2 linked regions of the Caenorhabditis elegans genome follow. The protein of the gene in region 1 purifies or fractionates together with the protein of each later gene. This does not show direct contact. Each region holds a gene or a part of one and is shown in the gene's direction. Other genes may lie near its edges. The genes, in order: irld-62 and ZK228.3.

The links.
Region 2: the proteins of irld-62 (region 1) and ZK228.3 fractionate together in Caenorhabditis elegans (co-fractionation; one large-scale study listed by BioGRID). This does not show direct contact.

The regions. Positions count from the first base shown.
Region 1 is NC_003283.11:15,309,147-15,313,170, forward strand, and holds irld-62 (Receptor L-domain domain-containing protein), read left to right. Parts: upstream 1-1,933; coding exon 1,934-2,051; intron 2,052-2,202; coding exon 2,203-2,466; intron 2,467-2,511; coding exon 2,512-2,645; intron 2,646-2,694; coding exon 2,695-3,061; intron 3,062-3,119; coding exon 3,120-3,181; intron 3,182-3,222; coding exon 3,223-3,390; downstream 3,391-4,024.
Region 2 is NC_003283.11:18,457,494-18,463,091, reverse strand, and holds ZK228.3 (YitH/HolE acetyltransferase (GNAT) domain-containing protein), read left to right. Parts: upstream 1-1,841; 5' UTR 1,842-1,860; coding exon 1,861-2,017; intron 2,018-2,372; coding exon 2,373-2,555; intron 2,556-2,745; coding exon 2,746-2,879; intron 2,880-3,115; coding exon 3,116-3,229; intron 3,230-3,986; coding exon 3,987-4,192; intron 4,193-4,642; coding exon 4,643-4,778; 3' UTR 4,779-4,851; downstream 4,852-5,598. Other genes in the region: ZK228.4 (N-acetyltransferase domain-containing protein), read right to left, coding at 121-277.

The DNA.
Region 1 (4,024 bases):
TCACCTGTTCAGAGAACTGGGTTTCCAAGAGCAGTGCTTATTTTCAGAATTACAATTAATTTTTGGTTTTCATGGATTGAAATTCGTGGGTGTCTCACTTTTACAAGAAATCACGACTATTTGAATTCGCAGCAGACATCTTGCAGGTCATATGATTTTTACAACTTTTAAGCTAGGTTTTAACGCAACTTTTTCCTGGAACTGTATGTGCACCACACTACTCCAAAACTCCAAAGCCAAAACTGGGAAGTATTTGAACTTGTGTGACTCGAAAAAAATATCTTTCTAATAAGAAATTTAGCGGCAGGGAAGCATTTGAAAGCAAAATTTTTAAAAGCAAAATTTCAAATCGACTCTACTCCAAAAATAATAAAATAAATTACTCGTAGGCCTAGAATGAGAAAAACAGCGAAAAACAAAACAAATTTCGAATTATACTTTTCACTCAATGGTTAAAAGTGAATTAATTCTTGGAACATGTCACGAAAAAATTTAGAAAATCACCGTGGCTAAGCAGACTAAAAATGACGTTCGGCATTTGGTTTTCGAAGTTCTATGTATGTCGGTGATCTTTTTTCGATGTTACAAAAAAAATAAATAACCTTTTAGACAGTTTATGATTTTTGGCTGGTTACAATAAATTTACACATTTTTTCAAACTTAGTGAAATCAGGAATTTACCAGTTAAGAAGGTTAAGACCTTCTCTCATTACTCCGGTTAATAACATATAATTTTAGTTCGGAGCCGAAGAACAATTTGCTGCTACATTTGAAGAAAGGACGTAAAGGAAGTTTTCGTGAGTTTTTTCCCGTTTGTCAAAAGGTTGGCGTTACATTTCAGAATGTGGTTATGCTACTAGACATTATATGTCGAGAATCGGTTTTTCTTAATCTAATTTTTCATAACAAAAATCTATTTTGGCTTCCTAACTTACTGAACACAAATTTGCTGTTTTACTTGTTTTACTGACCAATGTGCCTTTGGAGAAATTCCACGTATGAGCTCGACACATTTGCTCCGTCTCTTCTTCATCCGCTTGCTGTAATTGAGATTCCAGTTCATTTGCTAGCCGCCTATATTATAATATTCAAAACTCCGTCGACAATGACTTCAGTTAAATGGATGATGATGTTGCTTCATCTTTGGTAAGAATTTTGTGTAAAAATCCTAAACATTAGGATAGTTTTTTGATGTGAAATCTTTCATATCTCATCACCGAATAATCTTGGTTCACCAAGTTCAAACCATAATTTTTTTCAGCCAATCTAGACTCGGAGTATTCCCGTGACTTTGAAGCCTGATTGTGGACCGAAGTCAATTGAGGCCAGTTTGAAAGTCTCCATTAATCCTTGGATGGAAGTAAGTATGAGCCATAGCTGTCTGGAGTCAGGTGGTTTACTCTCGACTACTCCAGACTGGCTAATCTGGTGTCTACCAGTTTCGCGTGATCGAAGTTGGGTGATTGCTATTCTTGTTGATATTATGACCTTACCACGCAATGATGAACAACTCAATCCTGGACACGTGGACCACATCGCCAACCTTGGAGGGATTGCCCGAATCAGTGCTTACTATATAATTGTTACCGTACGTGTTCTATTAGTGTTACTACTGTTCCGTTAATAAATGATTGTAGAGTCACCGTTGTTCTGTTAGTTAAGTTAGATAAAAACACTGAACCGCACTAAAAATCAAATGAGGGTTTGCCAATTTTTTACGGTTTCAGTGAACTTTGAATTTTAAACTGCATTATTGGAGTTGCAAAAAATAAAAATTGTTAGATTAATGTTCTTTGGTTTTAAAGTATTTTTTCATGAAAAATATTATAGTTTGTTCAATTGTCTAATTACAAAAATGTCAAAGGCAACAAAAATTACACCTGCCTTAATTTTCGTCTTGCTCATTACTCAAAGTTTCCCTACACATTGAAGTATGAAAACTTTTATGTTTTGCGTAATTTTGTTGATTCCCAAAGTTGGTTCAACCATCGATGACTTGAATGATATGAAGTATATTGAAGAAACCGAATCGTTTTTCAGGGAGAGATGTGGTAAGTTTACACAATGTTGTCTTAACTGCTGGTTAAAAAAAAATATTTTTTGATGAAGCCGCGCTTGACTGTTTTTATGGCTCCAAACTGAGAGAAAAAAATATATATATTTGATAAGAAAATAATAACAGAATCTTTTTTCCTATTCCAGAACCTCAATGTATTTACACCGCGAATCTTTACAACAATCGCTCTGCTATCCCTGGCCTATTCACATCTGAAATGGTTGATATTTTCCCTAGACAATGTACAAAAGTTTGTTGTGAAACAATTATTAAAGCCGAGTCTAATGTATCAGAGGAACAGTTAGCAAGAACATTTCAAAACGTGAAGCATTTAGTTGGCAGTTTGCATGTATCATTTACAGAGTATGAGAGTTTAAAGTTTTTAGAAAGTCTGGAGACTTTGGAATGTGGTACGTTTTAAATCAGCTTGTATGAATTATTCTTTTTTATTTCAGGAGATCGAGAGTTTCTATGGGAAGACAATAAAATGAATGATATGGGACTCACTAACTTGACAACTGTTATATGCGCTGACTTCCGTATTTTTAACAATTTCAGAATGAACAAATTGAATTTGCCGAATTTGATAGTAATTTTGGTTCACCTAATAGTAAAACTAATGAAACATTCTCTTCCAGAATATCGTGCCAAGAGATGCTAATGGTTCAAGGATCAAAGTTTCAATTCTTAGTTCCATGCTAACAACTGATGTGACGATCCAAGAAGCTATGACCTTCCTTAGCAATCCTGATGTAGACTTTGAAATATCACAAGTGGATTTTATTAATACAAAAACAGACACCTGCAATGTGGGTAACGGTATTCCTGAAGGATGTAAGCACGTTTTTGGTGATTTGAAAATCGGTCAGGATAATGAGCATTTGGTAAGCAGATTGAAATCAGTTGAGGTTTTATTTGGAGGCCTGCTAATAAGTCGAACAAGCTTGACAACTATTGACTTTTTTGATAATCTGAAATACATTTTATTGCACACTTCGTCGATGGGTGCGTTTTTTTTTTCAAAGTATTTTAAAGATTTATCTCAAATGAGAATATATTACAGAGGAAGCCATTAGAGTTGAATACAATGTAAACTTGACAAATTTTTTATTCCCCAGTTTGAAGGTAAATCAGATAATTCTACCACTTGAATGCCAACATTTCAGCGAATTTATCCAACTTCAACCGTATACAGTAAATTCATTGCTCATCATGTAGTTTTCTCTAATAATAATAAGATTATTTCAACTGATCCAATTTATTGTGATCAATTCGAGCATGTCTTGAATGTGAGTAATGTAAAGGAATCTTTCGATAAGAAAAGTTGTGGTTAGTAGGTTTAGGAGGAAATTAAGTTGAGATTGTTTTTTCAGAAAAAATAAGACAGGAATACAACAATAGCGTGTCAAGATTTGGATGGACACCAACAATTTTAATATTGCTGACAATTTGTAACTGTTTTTGATTTTTGAAAGAAAAACTACATGTTGGAAGTTGGAAAATAAAATTTGTTATTGTGCTCGATGTCATTTTTATTTTCAAACGTGTTTCAAAAATCTTTGAAACACAAAATTGTGGAGCGCAATTTTAACGGAAAAAATGTAGATTTATTTTCAGAGAAAATAAAAAAGGAAACAATGTTCATGATTTTTGCGGTTTCAATGATGTTGTAATCAATATGCTAATAGTAAGATTGCGAGTTAAAGTGAAGCCCAAGCCTGCACATAGTTTTCATTTAAATGATCTGATAATTAAGCCCCGTAGATAGTTTTATATTCATCAAGTGATAAACATGTTTGGTGCTACTGATATGTTCACTTTCGAAGGAAACATTGAACAACTCATTTTTCAAACTGTTTTACGGATTGATCGGTTAAGTGTCAAGTAGATAATGCACACGGAGCCTGAAGTACGTTTACATTAAAACATTAGGATTTTTAAGCTACCTGTACTAAATTGCCAAACAAG
Region 2 (5,598 bases), 3.1 Mb from region 1:
CAATTTGATAAAATTCGAAAAATTTTAAAATTTTCGATTTTTTGAAAAAAACAATTTTTTTTCAAAATTCCCAAAAAAAATTTTTTTTTACAAAATTCCAAATTCTTATTTAAACTTTACCCTTTTCTTTATCAATAACCGTAACAAACCAATATCCATCATAACTCGTAGAATAAAATCGATAATCATACGCTTGATGAGCCCAGCCGTTAGTTTCTGCGGCCAAGTCGATGAGCTGGTCGAAAACTTGTTGCGGTGGGTTTATCACTAACTCCATTATAAAAAACTAGTGGAAAAAACTGAAAATTAGAAAAAATAATGATGAAAAATACAGAAAAAATGAGCAAAAACGGATGAAAATTGACTATTTTAGGAATTTTCGAAAAAAAAAACGATTTTTTGAAATTTTGAAAAAAAAATCAATAATTCTTAAAATTTCAATAATTGCCAATAATGTGCATAAAACTACTACACTCGTAGCTTTTATCGCAAAAAAACTGAAAATTTCATCATTTTCCCCCCGACCAAAATGGCAATTGTTTCAATGAATTTCCCCTTATTATCACTAATGATAAGAAAATTAGTGATTTGATTTTTATACCGTCACTTTATTGTAGAAAAAAGCACGAGAAAAATTGGAAAAACTGCTAAAAAAGTTTGGAAATCGAATGACTTTATATCCGATGAGAGTGTGATAATATTGTGCAATAGTGATCGAAAATTGGGTAATCTTAGCGAAACCTTAGTGTTTGAACTGATAAATTAAGCCCAAAGTGAAAAAAAAGTAGCTAATACTGAAAAGGTTGAAAAATAAAAAATAAAATTTCAAAAAAAAACAAAACTATCTAGAATTTTCCGAAATTTTACACTAAACAAGTTCAAAAAAAAAACCGAACAAAAACTATTTACCTCTCGGGGACTCGAACCCCGGACCCATTTCCCCATAGTCATCCCTCTACCCACCTGAGCCACTTCGACCCATTTTTAAATTTGAGAAAACTAGTGGTATGCTGGGTGTTTAAGCATTAAAATTTCATGGAGAATCTGAAATTTGGGTTGATTTTCTGATCTGGAAACATTGGAGCAAATTATTTGCTCATGTTCAGAATTTTTTGGTGAAAAATACCTAAATTTCCAACTTCTGATCAAAACTTTTTTGTTGAATAAACTCGCAGCTCCTAACAAAAATTAAATACCCCACCGGGGACTCGAACCCCGGACCTCTGCCCCGACGCCATCCCTCTACCCACCTGAGCTAACGCGACCCATTTTTCCAAAACTTTCAAATTTGAGCCCGCAAACTTAAAACTCCTATATCTCCGTGATAAGTAGGGATATTAAAGTAATTTTTGTAAGGTATAATAATGAGATTTCTATGAGAAAAAGGCACATTGCATCACTGATAAAATGAAAATCACGAAAAATTGCACAATCTCTCTGATCATTGCAATAGTGTGTAAAGTTCAAAATATCATCACTGAATCTTTGCACTTTTTTCCCGCAATTTTTTTTTACTTTTTCTATGTTTCTTCTGTCTATAGCATTTTTTATCAGTTGGTCAAAGGTCACCGATCACATAAAATCTTATCATTGTATTAGATCTTTTCGATGATTTTTTTTTTCTGATTGTGAGACTGATAAGGGCAAATTGAGTCTAATGATCACTTTTTTGTAGTTTTCAACGATTTTTATTTGTTTTTTCATTTATTTTGAAATTTTAAATTTTTTGCAAAAATTAGAATACAAATTTTTGAATTTTTCGAAAATAAAAAAAAATTGAAAATTTTCTAACATCTTTTTTTCGTTTTTTTTTCTCATATTTCGTATCACTTTTTATAATATTTCAGAATTTTCACCACAATGGAATTAGTAATAAACCCACCGCAACAAGTTTTCGACCAACTTATCAACTTATCTGGGGAGCTCAATGGCTGGGCTCATCAACCATATGATTATCGATTTTATTCGGAAAATTTTGATGAATATTGGTTTATTGCAGTTGTTGATAAGGAGAAAAGTGAGTTTAAAAACATAACAAATTTTAAAAAATTTAAAAAAATTGGAAATTTTTTATTTCTCGCCATTTTGATTTTCAACTATAAAATTCCAATTCAGCAGGTTTTCCCGGTAATTTTAAGTATAATCATGACGTATTTCTGATAATTTTGAAATTTCGAGAGAGCGCAGAGAAACGAGACACTCTAGCTGTCTGCGCTGGCGCAGTGGCTAACATGAATGGCTACAGTGTAAGGGTCATGGGTTCGACCCCCACTACGGGCAAAATATTTTTTTTCGGTGAGAGTAATAGGATAACACCAATTTTAAACTAGGAAACTGCGGAAAACTTGAAATTTCCCCAAAAATTTTTTCAGAACCCCATGAAAACTTTGTTGCTGGCGGGTGTTTGGCACGGTGGGATGCTGAAAATGAGGCTTCACTCTACTCAATTGGTCTGTATTACTGTAAGGAAGAATATCGTGGGAAAGGACACGGATTGCCGGTTTTCAAGGCGATGATGGGTATTGTGGGGGACGGAAATTGCGTTCTGACAGCTGGTGGGTCAATTTTAGCTATTTAATTGAAAATTTTAAATCAAAAAATTGAGACGGTCACAATGAGTATAATTTTGTTAATTTTTGGAAAAAAAATCTTGATATTTTTTTTTTTTTTTTTTTTCGAATTTTTTAAAACTTTTCTAATTTTCTGATTTTCACAGTTTCCTCTTACATTCATATAGATTTTCAGCAGTGGACATGTCTGAAAAGTACGCCACCACTTTTGGATTCAAGGAAATGCTCCCGTTTTGGCATATGGAAGCAGAAATTGAGCCGGGAAAAATGAGAATTTCAGCGGATTTGACGGAGAAATATGTTACAAAGGTATGAAAATTGAGTAAGAACGTAATTGTTTGGGTAATTAAAAAACCAAAAAATTGAAAAAAAAGTTTTAAAAATTTGGAAAAATTTTTTCAAAAAAATTTTCATTTAATTTTTTTCTTTAATTTTTCGAATTTTCAAAATTGTCATCACAGTTATACTCAAACTGATCAGAAAAATCTGCTCAATTCAAATTTTAACCCAATAGGGCTCTAATTCTAAAATTAACAAGTTTTCAGGACTGGAAAGAGGTGGGTGAAGCTCAGCTAGAAGCCTATGACCTAACAATTTGCACCCGAAATCGCAAGAAACTCATGAGAAACTGGTTTCAACAGGATCAGGTTTATACTAGAGTGAGTTTCGGGCAGAAAATATTTAAAATGAATCTGGAAAAAATGAGCCCCAGAATTTGTTGAATTTTCGGAAAAAAATCCAAAAAAATTTTAAGGAAATTTTTTTGTTATCTTCAAAAATTCATAACTTCCTTTGAAATATAGCAATTAAGCTAATTTTTAATACAGTTTGCAAAACATACATTAATTAACATTAGTCTAAAAAAATATTAGTAAAACCATCAAAAACTACAGTACCCCAAGACTTTTCCTGGCGGGACTTCAAAATTTTTTAGAAAAATTTTATAAATTTTTCCAAAACTCTTTTTTTTCAAAAACTATAACATTGTTATATATTATTATTATTTCAAAAACTATAACATTGCTCAAAATACAATCTATAAGCTAAATTGACATACAAATTGTACAAAATACATTTCTAAACTAAATTCAAAAACATTTTGAAACAAATCATGAAAAATTACAGTACCCCAAGACTTTTCCTGGCGGGACTCTAAAAATTTTTTTTTTTTAATTTTTTTTTTTTTTTTTTTTAAGTTTTAGAATTTTTTCCAAAATTTCAAATTTTATAACATTGTTAAAATGCAATATATAAGCGTATTTTACATTCAAAATGTACAAAATACATTTCTAAACTAAATCCATAAAAATTTTGAAAAAAATTATCAAAAACTACTGTACCCCAAAACTTTTCCTGGCGAGACCCCCAAAAACCGAAAAACTTCCGAAATTTTCAAAATTTCAAAACTTCTTCCAGATCGCATTTGACAGCAACCAGAAAATTGTGGGTTACTGTACTATCCGAGTGGTCAACCTAAACCGGCTTTGCGCTGCACCGTTTTATGCTGAAAATGTGGAAGTTGCGGAGGTTTTAATGGCGGATATGATGAAAAGTATTCCGGATTTTGCAAGTTTTGAGAAGTTGATTTTCTGGTACCCGGATGTTAATAAAGATGTGGAGAGGTATGTTGGGAGATAAATGTTTGATAAGAAATTGTTAAATTTGCTTGAAAAATCAAGTTTTTTGAAAAAATTTCAAAAATGTCGCAAATTTTTTTTTCAAAAACATTCAAAAATATACTCAATCAATTTGTCTTAATTTTCTGATTTTGAAAAATATATTCAACATGGGTCCCACCGCAATATTCGCTGAGATACGGTGGTTTTTGCGCCCAACTGAAAAAGAGAGAGGACGCAGACAACGAGAGTGTCTCGTTTCTCTGGGCTCTCCAAAATTTCAAAGTTATCAGAAACATGTCATGATTATCCTTAAATTGACCGGGAGGGCATGCTGAATTTGAAAAATTACGTTAAAAAAGGCCGAGTCCAACATTTTTTGAAAAATTAAAATAAATTAAAATAAAAAAATTATTTAAAAAAATAAAAAAATTTTTAAATAAAAAAAACTTTTAGATTGCTCCAAAAGTTGCTCCCAAGTGATGGATATCATATAAAAAAAGATTTCCGTACCCAATTTACGAAAAATGTGATCAAAGCCCGAGATGGGGTGGTGTACTCCGTTGCCTGTTCTACACATCAATTTGTTTGAAATTTTTGGTTAATTTTGTATTTTTTTCAAATTTTTTAAATTGTATTTTTAAAGTTTGGAGTAAAACTTTTTTTTTGAATTTTTTTTTCGTTTTTCTATTAGAAAAAATCAAAAACCTGCCATTTTCAGATTTATGCCGATTTACTGATAGTGATATATTCTTTAATTTTAATTTTGCCGGCTACTCGAGTTTTGAGAAAAAGTATTATATTAAAAAAAAAAAATCGAAATTCCGTCACTTTTTTCTATTCAAAAATTCAAAAAAAAAAATAATTTCCTAAACATTTAATTGTCAAAAATAATCAATTTACGATATTCTTCAAAAATAAATTTGTTTTTAAAAATTTTGAAAATCCGAAAATTTTCGATAATTTTTTTCCAAAAAATCAAAAATTTTTAAAATTTTTTTTAAAACTTTTATTGTTTTCATTTAAACCGAAATTGTCTCCTGATTCCAAAAATATACATATCATAGTACCTGGATCAAAAAACACAGAGTTACGGGCGTTTTTACACCCACCGCATAGAGAGAGAGAGAGGGCGCAGAAAGCGAGAGTGTCTCGTTTCTCTGCGCTCTCTCTTTGTCGAAATTTCAAAGTTATCAGAAATATGCCATGATTATATTTATTTTGAACGGCACATGAAAATAAATCCAAATTATCTAAAAAGAATTGGAAAACTTTACAAAGAAAATATTTTGGTACAAATTTCCAAATTTTCAACAAAAAATTTATTTTCAAAAACTATGATTTGTTCCAAATTTTATAAATACACGTTATCGGAACGGAAACTTAATGTTACACAAAATATTAATCAAATT